2 linked regions of the Coturnix japonica genome follow. The protein of the gene in region 1 purifies or fractionates together with the protein of each later gene. This does not show direct contact. Links are inferred from orthologs where the notes say so. Each region holds a gene or a part of one and is shown on either strand. Other genes may lie near its edges.

Region 1 (8,272 bases):
TCATGATTCTGTGAAGTTCTCTTATGTAATATGTATTTTACTTTGTTTTTACTAACTGGAGCAGTTATCTGCAGAAGGCTGGTCTATAGATCTTACTGTAGATCACTCTGAGTTGGAAGGGACCCACAAGGGTCATGTCAGCTCCTAACTCCACACACACCTGAGAGCTGCACCAGAAATATGAAAGTTGTCCAAGTGCTTCTTGACCGCTGACAGGTTTTTGAAGCTGTGACCACTACCCTGAACTAATCCTTAACCTAAACAAGTTTTTAACTCAAATAGTTAAAAACAAACAACGCACAAACTTAAATAATTATAAGAAACACCTGTTGATTAAAGAATAGATGGCTTAATCTAAGACCTGGTAAAACTGAAGAGTTTCTCTTTAGGCTCTGAATTGTATGCAACATTTAAATAGTATTTCTTCTGATCAAATAATGTCTTAACCATATGCAGTTAACAACAAGGTATTTCAAAGCAATCTTTCCATTCTTCTCTTTTCCTATCTCTTCCTTTTTCTTTTTAAAGAATGACAGATGGATACTCTGGAAGTGATTTGACTGCATTAGCGAAGGATGCAGCACTGGGTCCAATCCGAGGTAAGCTAGCACAGCTTTTATGTTTAGACTAAAAAATTGCAATACCCTTGAAGACTTTAAAGGTATTTCTCTATAGTAGTTAAGTTTATGTATGCATTAGAGTTAAAAGTTACTTTTATCTCTAAAGATACTTTGGCACATCACTTTGCATGCGAGTCCATGTTGAGAAGAGATCACAAATTACTACTTCTACCTGATCCTAGCTTCCAATTAAAATCCTAATTGTTTTTTAATGTCAGCCTCGCTGATCCCACCTATGTTCTTTGTACCCTCAGAGCAAAAAGTTTCCTATACTCTGTTACCATAATAATACTTCAAAAAGAAAACTGTAAAATGAGGAGGGCTACTGAAATGGTGAACTTCCATTATTAGTGTATGCAGTGAGATGCAGTTTTATGTGCCTACCTAATTTATTTCTGTATTCCTGGCTGATAGTACCTTTTTGCTTGCTGGGGATTGTGCATGTTCTGCTGGTAGAGAAATGTGGGTCCTAAGAATAAAATGGTGGAGGGCAGCTGTTATACGTGGATGCTTCCCTTTGTGAGGAAGGATGTTGTTCTGCTGTCATCCTGTATCTGTAGTGAGTCACTTTGGAAGCAGCCTGGGTGGGAGGGTGCTTAATGGGAAGAAAGAGGAGGAAAAGAAAAATGCCACCATGTACTTTTCCTTAAGGAATATTATGTTGATGGAGATAGATATCTATCTTGTCTGTGGTGGTGTTCCAATTAAAACTACATTTTAACATGTTTTAATTGTCAGAAGAGGTAGGTTTTCCTACAAAACTCAGTAATCTCTCTTTATTTTCACAGAATTAAAACCAGAGCAGGTGAAGAATATGTCTGCCAGTGAGGTATGCTGTTCCAGCAATTGTTTTCCCTTTTGAAAGTAACATGCTCAGCTGAAACTTTTAATGTCTCTTTGCTTATGCTTAGTATCCTACAAAACAGGAGTTTGTTTTTTCTTTTTTGGCTGTTACATCTTTGTGATTACTTCCTCACCGAAGAAGTTTTAAAGAAACTGTGTGAAGAAACACCTGTCCTCAGATATCAGAGGTTCTCTGAGCAGTTTTAAATCTCTAAGCCTAGAAAGGAGAAAATGAAGAAACTGGCTCTTGTAAAGTCTTATAAAAGTATTTTCCTAAGAAGTACCTGGTAATCATGAAACCTGGAGGATCAGCACCATCTGTAACGTTAATACTCATTTGATGATGCGACTGCCCTTACACACTCTTTGCCTACCTCCCACTGTGTCTGGATGTATTTCTACTTGTAATTGTGTTCTCAGTAAACTGAAGGGTGTATGTTGAATCAGAGAAGTGAGATGAGAAGATTTACTTGGCTGAGAGCCCACTGTGATCTTGAATACATTATCTGTGTATCTTTTTTTGGGTATGGAGGACCTCTAGTGCACAAAGTGGGGGTACAAAGTTAGGCCCTAAATGTGTTTTAAAAATCCCACATTGTGCACTTCACTCAGGCTTGTGCCCCTGTGTGCATTGGCTTGCACCACCTAGCGGAATAGGAAGCAGTAACACATTCTCATGGGTTATTAAGTAACAAAACTAACATAGTTATCAAACGTATTATAAGAAAAAAGTAATGATAATCTTAAATGGCACAAGACTATTGCATCAGATCATATGAAGCATGTTAGAAGTAAATACTGAAGTACTTTTTGAATAAACTGGAGCATTTGAACTGCTTGTCATCATAATATCATTTGCTTTTTGCTTTTCTTTTAGATGAGAAATATTAAATTATCAGATTTCACTGAGTCTTTGAAGAAGATAAAGCGTAGTTTGAGCCCGCAGACACTGGAAGCATACGTTCGTTGGAACAAGGACTTTGGAGATACCACGGTGTGAAACGCTACTTCAGATGGAACAAAGTGCTGCCTGAGGAGCAGGAATACAGACTACTGAAAAGCAGCCAAAGTTTACAGGACTTGGCAGATCTTTGAGAATCTGCACTAAAACTTGAGAATATGAAAAAATTATACAATGTGAAATAAGTTCATCAAAACCTCCTTGCCGTTTAGTGAGGATTTACACACTGTAAGTAAGAGCACAATAGGACTTTGGTTAAGATTCCTACCAATCTGATCATAGTTTGTGTGTTTTGTTTCAGTTGGAAGGCTCTGATGATATTGATCATTGGAAGGCTTTTTCCCTATGTTGTGTGCATTACTTTTGTTTTTAATTCTGCCATGACATTCATGTCTGGCTTCCTTCCTGATGACTACTAATAGTTAAGACTGTTTTGTAACCTTCGGTTCCACTTTTGTCTCTTTATTTTTATTTTTACCCTTAATGTGCCAAATAAAACAAATTCCCCATGCAAAGCTGAAGGACAGCACTGGGGGATTACGTTCATTACAATGTAAAGTGCAGCTGGTCTGTTATTATTTGTCTTTTTGTTTAGTTGTATGTGAGTGTGTTGTTCACAGAACAGTTCTAAAAAAGACCTGTGATAGCAGAACAGCAACAGACAAACCAACAAAAAGCTATACAACCAGTTCAAACTGTTCTTAAGAAAATGACTAAATAAGAAATAGATTAAGACGTTCATTTACTGGCAGTATTTTCACTTAACGCGATTTGTAATGCTTCCATTGATAGAATGTTAGCTTAACGCTTATGGTGTGCGACTTGAAGACCAGCTGTTTGAGAGAGTAAGTGACGCTAATTGTCAAGTTTCAGAAACGTGTTTCTACTTTGTATTTTGGTCCGGCTGCGGTCATTTGAAAGTGAAATTTCCATTGTGTAATTTTTTTAAACCTACACATTTAACCTTTAAACATAAGGCTACGTGTTTAATACATTGCGAACATTAATGTTTTTATAGCTTTCATATGTTTTTGGTTTGTATATTAAAGTATGAAACACTCAACTGATCTGCTTTTTTTTGAAAGAAACTGCATCTTTGTACAAATACTTGGATTTTTATTATATAAATGACAAGCTATTAAAAAGTGCAAGCCTTTAAATGCTGTAATAAAACATCTCTGCCTTTACTTCTAAAGGCCTGACATCTTGTTTACAAATTCTGCATCAATCAAACACTGGGATGTTTGTAAAGCAGATACCAGTTCCTTGTTAGAACTGCTGTAAAATTAAGAAAGACAACTCTCCCAGCTTAGTGATGTTGCAAAGTTGTGTATTGTTTACAATTGTTATAAGTAAATTCATTTCCCTCCTTCATTTCCTTTTGGTTTGAATGGCAAACTTTGTCCTTTTTCCTTTAAATTATTTTATTGTAAGGAGTAAGTCTTAAATATTTCTGGCACTACTCATTTGAAAATTGTCTGTATATATTATAATTTTATATCTGTGAAGACACATAGCTGATGCAGTGCAAAGGCAGTGATACCAAGAGAGGGCTTGGTGTTCGCTGCATGGTATTTGTTACGAGATAGCTGAAGGTGTGTAAAGCTTTTGAGATGTATTCATGCAGTATGTTTGGGATTAGTGTGTTTTGTTTGTTTTTTTAACAAGGGACACTTTTAATTTAAGTTACTTTTAATTTGAATATATGAAAAGATTGTGTTACACTAGTATGCCTTTTGAAACCATTTCTAACCTTCTAACCAAATCACTTCTAGCCTTCTAAGCGTATGACTCTATCAAATGTGTGTCTGATATAGATGAAATGTGATTTCTGTTCCCCTGAACAACCTTCCCAGAGAAGAAATGCTGAAAGATTTTAGTTTGTCTGATCTCCTGTCTTTCTTGCTTTGCCTCAGTTCTGCCTTCAGCAGACTTATCTTTCTTTGAGATTTCTGGCTAGTATAATATGTTTGTCACAGACTTCATAGTGTTAAACACAGGTATTACTGTTTAGTTACCATATGCCAAATGGCTAAACAGATAACAAATGCCTCTGGTTTTCCTACTGATAAAGCTTGCAAATTTTTCCCGGAGATTATTTGCAAATGGGAGCTCTGAGGTAACACTCGTGGCTATAAGCATTCCTAAATACTTGTTAGGAAACTAATTTCCCTCCATTAAATTTTGAAGAATATAGAGATATTAATTTCAGGTGTGTATTGGCAGGTGATAGGTACATGGAATGTAAAGGTAGAACATCGCACCTCCTAAAACACCACAAGCAAAAGCAGCACAAAGAGTCAGAAGCCTGAGCTGCTACCTCAGAAAGGAAAAGAACAACTGGTTCAGGACTGGAGAATGTGTGACACAGTAATGTTTTTGGTACCTATCCTGCCTTAATTATTTTATGTGTAATGTCTAAATTGATGCTCTGTGGATGAGTTCTGCAACACAGAGCTTTATTTTGTTCTGCAATGTCAGTTTGCCCCAGTGGCTGCTGTATTTTTTAGTCTGTAACCAAGTGCCATTTGGTTCATGAATTGCCTTTAAATTACATTTACACATTCACACTATTTACTGAACAGTATCTTTTTAATAATAATTCTGTTCCCCTCGGGATGTTTAATCGCATCTTCTCATTTCTGATGTTACATACGCTGAGTAATTTCCAGCTCAATGATTTTCATCTGTGTGCTAGATTAACTATGTATAAAAGCAAATCTAAAAGCAGAGTGGGGAGGGGGGAACCCACAACTCACATATTTTGTATAGAACTTTGTGACCGTATATGTCATAAAATCAGATTATGTTCTAATGCAGTATCTATCTTGAATTAGGTTAGGATAAGCAGGACAACAGCTTGGATGCTTTTAACCTTTGCAAAGGTTATGTTTGCATTAAGTCCCTAAACTGACTTATTTTTTTCCCCTCCTAGGATGAATCTGTCCACTGCTGTAATGAATGACTTGACCCACTTCTCAGAGATTATTAGGAAGCAGCTTGTCTGGCTCGCTGCATATGTTTTTTTACTGGCCTGAAGTTAAACACTTACTGGAGGGAAGGGAAAAACAACTGTCTTCTTTGTGCATTCTTGCCTGTTTTATTAAGCTGGAAATACCTGTTTTGTTTTTCTACCTGCTGAAGGAGCAGTGTCTAAGGCAGCGGGTTGGTTGAAGTGGTATATTTATGCACTTGCAAGTTTCACCTGTTCTCTTATTGTGTCAGAATTATAGTTTAATGCATTAGGAACAGGCATTCCTCCCCAAAACTTCTTATCAGCTGTACTTCAGAAAGTCAGAGAGTAAGAGTTTTGTTGAATATGGCCCTGCAACTTGCTTTATTTAGATACCAAACATGATAGTAACATTTGATAACTGGAATGGAATCTGAACTGGGAAGGAACTCCTTGTTGCTGCAGTAACTAGAAGCAGATCTTCTAATTTGATCTCCCTGTTGGATTTCTTTGAATGTGATTAAAATGGCAGGTTATTACACATACAACTTCCTGTGACAATTAAACTTACCTTCCAGTATAGAAGAAATTGGTAGGTTTTCCCTGTTCTAAACAAGCAATTTTTAGCTGGCACAGCTGTCATGTACATTGTATGAAATTTAAGTACTGCGAAACCAGGTATGTTGGCAAATTTAACTGAAGTATTGGTTTTGCAACTGATATGGAAAGCAGCATTCTGTTTCCTTCACCACAGATGATGAAATTTCTTGTGTGCTAGAATCTTCTACTGCTTTCCTACAAGGCATGGATAATTGCATAGTTGTGCCTAAGATAAGTTTAGCTATTCTAATGCTTTAGCGATGCTTCTGCATGTGGCAGCTGTGGGAGATGGCAAGCACTATTGTAGGTTACAGATGTTCATTCGTTTTGTGGTAGTCTTAAGCTCCTGTATTTTTAGTGCTGGGGACTTCTACCAGTTGTCAGAAATGAAAAGGTAACAAGCAAGCAGTGGAGAACAGTTCCCTTATTGTCATGCTCATTAGAGGCAGTTACCGATTTCACTGTTAGTGTCTCTTGAGCTTCTGGTTAGTATTGAAGGATGTTGTTTTACTCACCTACTTGAGTTTCCATGGTCATCTTAAGAGATGACCAATACATAAAGAGTTTAAGTACTGTAACTTCAACAGGACACAGACATAAACTAGCTTCCTACAAAGGCAGAATCATCTAAAGTACAGGCAGATGTGTGTTATATTCTTTCTGCTTCTCTTGTAAATTGTAAGCTGTCATGATGTAAACTGTTTATTTTGTCAGTAACTACCTCCTGAGTTCAGCAATAATTGACAAGGTAGACCCTCCTCCACTGTATCTAAATGTATCGGTTAAACACTGCAATTCTGTCGGTACTGGTCAGTTTCGTCTTTTTGATTTGCAATTGTCTGTTAGTTTGGTGATTAGACTTTGTCTCCATAAGAAACACTTCTAAAAGTTCTGTTTCAGAGGCTGACTTTGAAGATTGACTTTCTTCGTACTTGGTTAATACAGGTTTATTCTTTCAGGATGCTTAAGATGTGGTCTCAGTTCTGCAGGGTGTTTTTGTTTTTGCCATTGGAAGTGAGAAGTACTTGATGTAATGCTTGTGTACCTATCAAGGGGGCTGAGAACATGGAAACTGTCACAATTCAAATCCTCATTCATGTGAAGGGCTAGTCAGTTTTTTCAGAAGTCTGGATTTAAGTGACACAAGCAGAAGGTGGAGGCAAATTGCTGTCCCCTACCCTGTTAAATACAGTGAATAACTCTGGTTTGAGACAGAGCTGATGCTTGTCTTTGGTTGTGTTGAGGGTCTTATGCCTCAGTGTTCCCTAAAGAACATTTTGTGGAATGTTAAACATGGCTTCATTAATAAGCAATGTAAGGCAGCGTGGTGAGCACTCACACAGCGTCAGCTTCACAATAAAATGTTGCATTTATCCTTTTCTTACTGCTCTCGTCTGTTTATCAGATTAAAACGCCCAAAGCTGCAACCCTTCTTATTAAACCTCAATCTGATTAAGTTGTTACTGCTTTAATAAATGAATCAAGTCAGGTGTTGTGCCTGCTGGATGATGGAACAATAAATACGTCAATACCTCATTTAGTTTCTAAAGGACTTGAGTCAAGTTCTTATTGAGTCAAGTTCTTAGTACTAATATAGGCAAGTGCTGCTATCCGTGACTATCCGGATATCGCTGTGTGGTGCAGCAGGGCGGGGTAAGGCCTGGTGTCCCCGCCCTAGGGGCGCGCTTCCTTTGCCGTCACATCCAGTTCCGCTGTCGCCCCGCAGGCTCTGCAGGTTGCCACAGTGACGGCAGCCCCCTCCGCCTCTTCCGGCCTCGCATGGCGCCGTCTCTTCCGGTGCGGGCAGTACTATGGTGAGCTGGACGCGACAGGGAGGGACGGGCCGGTTGCGGCGGGTGTGAGCGGGGAGCTGTGAGGGCGGGGAGGCGGCTCCCGGGCGGGCCGGGGGGTTCCAGCTCCGAGCTCGGAGCGCGTCGTCTCTCATCCCCCCCTTGTGGCGCCTCCCGCCCCGCTCCCGGGGCAGCCCCGCCGGGCCCGCGGTGACGTGGCCGCCCGTGTTTTCCTTACCGGGTCGGGTCGGATCTCCACGGACACTGCAGCAGGTGGGGGCGCTCCTTGGTGTCCTGGGGGGTTCGGTAGTGATTTGCCTGGAGACAGCGCAGTAAGTGCTTTGCTTTCGCCTCGGGGAACGTGTATTTGCAGTCTGTAGTACTGCGATCTACTTGTGGTACCGACCCAAACGTGGGTGTGCCTGCAGGTACTGAGAGCGGCGTGAAACACGGCTGTATTGACAGGCGTGTCTGTCAGCTGAGTGAGGCTGGTTAGGTGACCGGC
Region 2 (8,344 bases), on another chromosome or scaffold:
CGCTGTGGGACCCCAGCGGTCACACGGCCCCGTGAGCCCCATATCCAACCCCCCACAGCTCTACACACCCCAGCCCCACATCCAGCCCCATAGATCCCTCCCCCCCCGCTCTCACTCACTCTCAGCACTCCGCCGCCGCCCCGTCCCGGCCGTGCCCGCAGGAAGCAGCGGGCGAGCCCGGAGGGGGCGTGGCCTGGGCGCAAGTGGGCGTGGCCTCGCCCATAGCCCCGCCCACCCCGCCCTTAGCCCCGCCCACCCGGCAGGTGGCCCCGCCTCCTCCCCGCCCGCCATTTCCCGTGCTGCCCCGCGCGGGCGGGAAGGCGCTGACAAGATGGCGGCGGGGCTGGCGGAGCGCAGCTACATGGAGCTGGGCCCGGCTCCTCGTGCCCCGCCCCGACGGATCCGGGAGGTGTCCTTCAGCCCGCCGGGTACCGCCCCCGTCCCCACCGGGCGTTACGGGGACAGCGCTGGGGGGTTCTGTTACCGAGAGTGCGCTCAGTTGGGGGCGGCCACGCGGAACCGCTGCGTGAGGTGGTGAGTAAGGGCGGGCGGGGCTGTGAGGGGACGGGGCGGGATGAAGGCCTGGGGGGGGGGTTGAGTCATGGAGGGGCTCTTTGGGGCATAGAGATAGAGAGGCTGTGATAGAGAGGCTGCTTGGGGCATGGAGGGGCTGTCTGGAGTGGGAGGGTGTTGGGTTTTGGGGTGGGAATGGAGTGATGGAGGGAATGAGGGGGGATGGGTTTGGGGCTGGGGGTGGATCAAGGGTCTGTGGGGTGGTGGGGGTGGGTTTGGAGGCAGGTAGGGATGGAAGGTGGGGGTTGTGGGGGTTGAGGATGGGTTTGGGGGATGATAGGGATGTGAGTTGGAGAAGGCAGGGACAGAAGGAAGGGGTTTTGCTATAGAAGGAATGAATTTGGGGCAGGAAGGGATAGAGAAGGCTATGGGGGTGGGGGTGGGGCAGGCAGGGATGGTTTTACCTGCTCCCAGCCCCTCCTTGTGTCCCCTGTTGTCCCACACTTCCTTGTTTCTCTCAGGACAACATCTGGGGACATCCTTGAGCTGGTGGAGGAATCTCTGGACACGGAGCTGCTGAACAATGCTGTGCGGTTACGCATCCAGGGCTGCCCGCTGCTGCCGGGCGGTGTACACCTGTGTGAGGTGCAGAACCACCTGGTGCTGCTGCTGGTCACTGTGCAGAGCGTGCACCGCATCCTGCTGCCTCATCCAGCCCGTGCCTATCGCGGGGTGAGTGGCATAGAGGAGTTTATGAGGGATTTAAAGCCTGGCCCTGTGGTCAGTGGCTCCTGTGGAGGCATTACTGAGTGTGAGAAGGGAGAAAATGCTGCTGGAAAATGAGATTTTAAAGCCTGTATGTTTTGGGAAGCAGCAATCGTGGGTTGAAAAAGTGACTGTCACTTAGCAGTGTTGCTCTGTAGGTGGTGAGTTATTTCCTCCATGGCTTGTGTATGTGCTTGAGACTTGTTCTCCTCCCTTTACCTCCTCCAGGATCTGATAGCAGAGAGTCAAGTGCAGTCCGTCTTTACAGACATTGGCAAAATCAACTTCAGAGATCCATCCAGCTACTACCTGATTCCCAGTGTGCCAGGCTTGGCAGCCAACTCACTGGCCTCAGCAGCCTGGCTGAGCAGTGATGGGGAGGCCCTTTTTGCTCTACCCTCTGCAGCAGGAGGCATCTTTGTTATTAAGCTGCCTCCTCATGACATACCTGGTAAGGCTGCATCCTCACACCTGCTTCTGTGGAGCACTGTATCCCCTCTTCCAGCTTTGGACCTCGATGGGTTTTGCTTTTGTCACTTGTGTCTTACGGCCTTGCTGCACACACAGCATCTCTTTTGCATCAGCCTCCTTTCTGGCAACATGTGTTTTGTTAACTAAGTCCTCACTGTGTTTTCCCTGTGTTGCTTTTATTTTGCAAGGAGTTGTTTCGGTTGTGGAGTTGAAGCAGAGCTCGGTGGTGCAGCGCTTTCTCACCGGTTGGATGCCAACAGCAATCAGGTTGGTGTTTGGGGACAAACACAGGGAGCTCGCTTTGCTTTATGATTCCCTCGCATAGGAGGAGGTGGTGTTTCTAGTTGAAGTCCAGCGTGGGCAAATCAGCACCTGCAGATGTGTTCTGCAATGTTAACTGGGTCACAGGCCCCGTCACAGTGAGACTTGAGGGCTGGATTAGTTCATCTTAGTGGGGTCCTGCTGATTCTGTGCGTTGGTGTCTGTGAGTGTGTTACATCCAGTAATTGGCCTCTGAGGATTTACCCAGGATGTGGCTCGCAGCCAGGGTAGATTAAGGATTACAACAGTTGTATGTTCTTGTCCTTGTTCCAAAATGTCAGGCTTCTTTCTGACCAGCAGAGGTTACGTGTAGATAACAGCTCGTTTGGGGACTGTAGTCTTATGGCAGCTTAAGCACATGATCAAACCCTGTTAAAGCCTTCCTGGGAAATGTGAGTGAGCCTGCGGCACCCTGAGTTGGATCACAAGGGGTGCGTTGCTTGGGGCCAGGTGCCTTTCTTTTCCCACCTCAGTCCTTCATCTTAATGGGTAAAACATCACGATAGAAATCTACTGCCTTGGACCTGTGTGCCAACCTTGGCTTCCTTTTAACACACCTGTGCTTTCAGAGGTGACGGTGGCCCATCAGACGTGCCCATCAGCCTTGCAGTTCACTGCCTGGACCACGATGCCTTTCTCTTTGCTCTCTGCCAGGACCACAAGCTTCGGATGTGGTCCTACAAGGTGAGGCTTGCGTTCGGGGCAGGTGTAGTTTAACAGGTGACATTGGGTGCTTTCCAAACTAACTCTGGCAGGCAAGTGGGAGTACCCCAAGGGATGAGGCAGCACCCAAAACGGGTGTTCTGCTGCTTGAGTGGTAATGTAATGTGACTCTTTGTCAACAAGAAACTGCTAAAAGCCTCTGCTTGCTGCATTGTACTTGCTCCAGAGCTAATCAGCCAGCACAGGCACTTTCACGGCTGGGCTGTGCTGGAATGTGTGTCTGCTACTGGAGGGAGGGGAAGCTTTATGTGCTGGCTGGGAGAGCACAGATGAGCTGGGGGAGCTAAACTGCAACCAGAATGCTTATGGTGTACATAAAAATATTTTGCTGGCATTCTGCAGGGAAGGATTGGGCTGCTGCTGGGGTAGACTTGAAGGCAGTTTTGCAGTCCTTTATTATGCTGCTTTCTTGTGCTTCCTGCAGGATCAAATGTGCCTGATGGTTGCAGACCTCCTGGAGTTCATGCCGGTCAGCAGGGACCTGCGGCTCGCAGCTGGCACCTGTCACCGCCTGCGCCTGGCCTTCTCCCAGTCCCTGGGGCTCTACCTCGGCGTGTACATGCATGCACCCAAGCGAGGGCAGGTAGGGAGCAGCAGGGCTGCCTCGCTATAAGCTCGTTTTTCTTGGCCCATGCAGAAAATACATAATTTCTCCTTGGAGCTGAGTATGCATAAGGAGAAAGTAAAGCTTGCCATTACAGGGAGAGAAGGCAGCGCTTTGAGTAAACAGTTTTGTCCTCAGCACTGCAGGATGTGTGTCCTTGCTTTGGGAGGAGAGTTGTGTGTGATTAAGCCAAGTGCTGATCCACTCATTCACCTTCTGTTCTGGTAGTACACACATGCCATGGGAAAGGTCTGAAAGGAGCCAGAAACGTGGAAGCACTGAGAGTGTGTTTATGTTGAGCTCCTGGGAACGTGCAAGTGCATCACAGCACTCTGCCAAATGTTAGCTGCTGTACAACTCCATGTCGTGTGATAAATAATGAATCCAGCAGGAGGGGGCTGACAGCACAGGGCAGCCTCATCTCTTGCACAGCTTCTTGCAGTTCTCCAGGGGGTTGAAGCTCTGAGTAGAAGCACATACTGTGGCTTCTGCTGTCTCTCCAGTGCTAGCTCACTTGTGTAAGAACATGCAGAGCTTTGTTTGAGGTAGCTTGCCTGAGGATTCCAGTCTTTTCCATCTCTGTTTGCCTGCATCGTGTTGTCGCTAGCAGGAACCAGCAGTAGTGTTGTTTTGCTGGTTCAGTCTTTCAGAAGAAACCCTTCAAGTCCAGGCAGGGATCAAGCTGTCCTGCTGACAAGGCTGGCTGGAGTCTGGAATGCTGGCTTGGTCCAGTCTCTGCTGCCCTTGGCCAGGCAGCTGCCACACCAGGGACCTGTGGATGGGTCGCAGGGAGCAAGGAGAGGCTTCCCCACAGCACACGGGTTGGTGTTCCTCTTTAGCAAACGACTTACAGGATGTGTTGGTAGTTCTGTGTCTTCCAGCTGGTAAGCACCGAGAGCAGCCGCTACAGCCTTGACCACATATCCTCTCTATTCTCCTCTCAGGTGAGTGCTGGGGCAGGTCTTTGCAAAATAAGAAGGGAGCATTCCCTGCTAGATTTAACTGTTAGTCAGGAATTCTGTCCAGAATATGGGTAAACGGCATGAGGGAGAGTTTGGCTGTTTTTAACCACACGAGTCTCTGCTGTGCTTTCATTTCTGTTCCCTTCCTGCAGGAGACTCTCATCGACTTTGCCTTGACCTCAGCTGAGATCTGGGCGCTGTGGCATAATGAAGAGAACCAAACCATCGTGAAATACATCAACTTTGAGCAGTGAGTTTCTGCCCTGACTTACTGGTGGGGGGGGGATCTGTCAGATGCTGCTCTGTTCATTGAAAGCTCTTACCCAGAACTTCTTGATAGCGCAGCGTTCATGTCATGCACACAGCTGTGTCTTCCTGCAGTGCAGATCATGTGGATATTTTTTGTGTTGTGCTGTATAATGCCACAGCTCAGCTGCAGGAATGTGAGAAATGTAAGAAGGCAGGCAGTAGGTTTGCAGTGAGGGAGGGCTGCACTTCAGCAGCAGGTCTGGCTGCTCTTTTCCAGTATGATCATGTTTTGAGGTGAGCAGTGACATGAAAGCTTTGTCCTTATTTCTGTAAAGCCAAGAGGGTTCTTTTGGCATGAAACCAGGCGGGGAGTTGAAAACTGAATAAAAAATGCTGAGCATTTAGGTTAGCTCAGGACTGGGGATAACAGTGTGAAGCTCTGCTGGCTCAATCTGTTGTTTATCACCACTCAAAGCCCTGTCACCAGTCCCCAGGGGCTGTCAGTGTGACAGGTTGGCTTCAGGTGACAGCTTCTGGGGGCGTTGCAATGCAAAACTGATTGGTTTTTCTTCTTGTTTGTTTCATTACTCCAGAAACGTGGCAGGACAGTGGAACCAGGTCTTCATGCAGCCACTGCCTGAAGAGGAGGTGACAGTTCGACATGATCAGGACCCCAGGGTGAGCTGACTAGAAAAGCAACAAGAACTAATGAAGCTTCTCTGCCCCAAGGAAGATGTTAAGGTTGCTGAAGTGTACAATTTATCTTGTAACACTTCTTGAAATTGTTCCAAATTAAAGGAGATGAGCCCGGGGCTCTTATCACAGCATTAAAGTGCTAAGCCTAGTTACAAAGCCTGAATTTGAGGGAAGGGGAGAATTTCAAGTCAGTCCAGAGCAAGCCTTGAGACAAGCTGTATGAATAAAGAAGGTCTGGAGTGTGTGGGGAGCCATATTCAGCTGTGGGAGCTGCAAAGGGTGGGGAGGAAGAGAGGCTGGAGCAGAGTGTGAGTGTAAACTGAAGCTGGAAAGAAATACAGATCAAGAGGGAGGAGTTTGAGAACGGGAGCTAACACCAGCAGCAATATCTTATCATTTCTGTAAATTCCCATCTTGTTCTTTTCACAGGAAACCTACTTGGAGTACCTCTTCATGCCTGGCCGCTTTTCAAATGCAGCCATCCAGAAAGCTTTGCAGGTTCGTGTGAGAGCATTTGGTGCCTTCTCTGTTCAGCTTCTTCCTCACAGTTCAGATGTGAGGCAGCAGGATTCCTTGGCTGGCATCAGTTTGCTCTTGACAGCTTACAGGCCTGTCAGGGGTCACTGGAGCAAGTTAGAAAGAGTAAAGCTGGCTGAAGCACTTAGCTCCCAGCCCTGTTTTTTCACACTTTCACCCAACAAATCAATGGATAATGCATTGTGAATGTTGTATGTTGCTGAATGCTTCTCCAAGACAGCTCTCTTGGTTTAAAGAAAGGCTTGCTGTGTTGATTTTCAGATATTTTCTCAAGGAACAGAGAGGCACATGGACCTGACGTGGGATGAGTTAAAAAAAGAGGTTACCTTAGCTGTGGAAAATGAGGTAGGGTTTCTTTTTCCCTCTGATGTTTTGTTCTTGCATCCATTTTTACATAGTGTTGTGGTGGCTCAGTGAAGCTGGTTAAATGCAACATGACCCTGAGCCGTGTTTTATCCTTTGTATTTCTGGAGGAGTTATGCAAACTGTGTTTTTGGTTCTGAAGAAAGAAAATCTTCACCTGTTTTTTCATTCCCCGTTCTTTTTTTGTGTCTTTAGTGGGGAGATGTTAGAAACAAATAAGTTTTGCCTGTAGGTTGGTAGGGAAGGGAATTGCAAGTGGTCTTTATAAATCCTTAACTGTGTAATTATGTGATGCTGGTCACAAGGGACACAATATCAGTTCAAATGCTAGTTTTTCATTCCCTTCCGGTTCCCATCTGAAGCTGTTTTGTTCCTGCTAGTTCCAGGGCAGCGTGACAGAGTACGAGTGCTCTCCAGAGGAGTTTTGTCAGCTGCAGGTGGATTTCTGGTCCAAGTTCTGTGCCTGCTGCCTTCAGTACCAGGAAGCGCTCTCGCGGCCCCTGGCCCTGCTCTTGAACCCCTACACCAACATGGTGTGCGTGCTGAAGAAGGTGAGGCTGAGCAGCAGTGCTCTGGGTAAAGCACCCAGGCAATTAGCCTGCACATTGCCATGCCCTTCTTACTGAGGAGTGATTGAAGGAACTCACATAATTGCTTTGCCTCGCCTTTCTAGGGGTCTGTGTCCTTCCTTGTGCCCTGCTCCTTGGTGGACCATCTCTATCTCCTCTCTAATGAGCATCTGCTGACTGAGGACGATGCTGCCATCTTTGATGGTAAGTGAGGAGATGCAGAGCTCTTCTGTTATTGGAGGCTGTAAATGTGCCAAAAATAAGTTTGGAAAACTTGAAAAAGGGAGAGTCTTAGATTTCAGGCTTAATGACAGGCATCCACAGTGGTGCGATCCTTTGCCTCGTGGCATACCCTGAGTACACACACTGGTGCCTTCTTCACACCCACTCTATGGGTTAGATCTGCCAGACTGGAGCCTAACAGTGTGCTACAGGGGCTCAGAAGCTTGTGTTTCTGCCCCCTGCTTTGTTTAATCAGCCTTTAACAGCTACCAGGTGAATGCAAACTCAAGCCAGGAGGCCAATTCCATCAGAAATACTTCATAATTTCATATCGTGCCAGCTGGTGACCCCTTATATAAGGATCTTATGGGTGACACCCTGGTTTGAACCCCTTTTGGCTTTGCAGTTCTCACCAAGAGCTGTAGGACCTGCATGTAGGCTACAGAGAGGGACTGGGAAGCTTGTCTCCAGAAGTAAGTGGTAGAGAGAGCAAAACTCATCATTAATATCATCACCACAGTGCCCTCTATGCTTTGCTGCTGATGGAACAAGAAAAAGGCAATGGAAAATATTATTTAAGTCCTACTTCCGTGCTTGAGTCATTTTTTTTTATATTTTTTTCACATTTTTGGGTTATTTTTAATCATCCTCCACTTGGTTGAGCTATTTCTGGCTCCTGTAGAGGGAAAGCTGGAGGCCTGGGCTGGTTTGGAGAGGCTGACATTGCCTGCTCCATCTGGTTTGAGCTTCTCAAACAAAGTGACTTGATCTTTAAGATACACATACCCCAGGGACTGTGTTGGAAAACAGGGATTTGTTCTGTAAACTCTTGGCCCTTAGAAATGATCTGAGAATTGACCTAAGAATGTGAGAATCTCCTTTTTGCTAGAGAGGGCTGCAAATGGGGAACTGCTACAGCAGGATTGGCAGCTCCTTGGTGGAGCTCAGCTGTATGAGCCCCTGGCTTTGGATTTCTTTGCTCTTTGCTATGTGTTTCCTTTCAACCTGTAGCTGGAGGAGATGCCTTACAGGGAATTTGATAGTTAATTGTTTTTTGTTTGTTTTTTACCCCCAAATAAAGTCCAAATCTTTGTCAACTGCCACATTTTGATTTGGTCATGTTTGCAGGGCAGGGTGAGTTTGACATGCAGGTGACATGCAGGACTGAGACCAATCTGCTGCTTGTGCTTTGCTGATGGTGATCTGGGCCAATCTGTTTAGAATGGTCCTCCCGCTTGGCTGTTGAAATCTCTTGTAAATATACAGTTAGATTCTTTCATTGCAGATTTGGAGATGTCTCGTGATGTTGTCTGTCTTGTCCAGTGCCTTCGACTGATCGGAGAATCAAT

Evidence for each region.
Region 2: the proteins of SPAST (region 1) and NUP160 purify together in Homo sapiens (affinity purification with mass spectrometry; 3 studies listed by BioGRID and IntAct, with this or other methods). This does not show direct contact. The link is inferred for Coturnix japonica from reciprocal best matches to the Homo sapiens genes SPAST and NUP160.

What each region holds. Positions count from the first base shown.
Region 1 is NC_029518.1:30,260,406-30,268,677, reverse strand, and holds the end of SPAST (spastin), read left to right. Parts: intron 1-528; coding exon 529-599; intron 600-1,408; coding exon 1,409-1,449; intron 1,450-2,340; coding exon 2,341-2,463; 3' UTR 2,464-4,997; downstream 4,998-8,272. Other genes in the region: SLC30A6 (zinc transporter 6), read left to right, coding at 7,757-7,774. UniProt on the Homo sapiens protein: ATP-dependent microtubule severing protein that specifically recognizes and cuts microtubules that are polyglutamylated.
Region 2 is NC_029520.1:525,044-533,387, forward strand, and holds the start of NUP160 (nuclear pore complex protein Nup160), read left to right. Parts: upstream 1-286; 5' UTR 287-331; coding exon 332-534; intron 535-1,034; coding exon 1,035-1,245; intron 1,246-1,506; coding exon 1,507-1,729; intron 1,730-1,937; coding exon 1,938-2,016; intron 2,017-2,639; coding exon 2,640-2,754; intron 2,755-3,217; coding exon 3,218-3,376; intron 3,377-4,263; coding exon 4,264-4,341; intron 4,342-4,511; coding exon 4,512-4,609; intron 4,610-5,201; coding exon 5,202-5,286; intron 5,287-5,733; coding exon 5,734-5,802; intron 5,803-6,102; coding exon 6,103-6,186; intron 6,187-6,584; coding exon 6,585-6,755; intron 6,756-6,877; coding exon 6,878-6,977; intron 6,978-8,265; coding exon 8,266-8,344. UniProt on the Homo sapiens protein: Functions as a component of the nuclear pore complex (NPC). Involved in poly(A)+ RNA transport.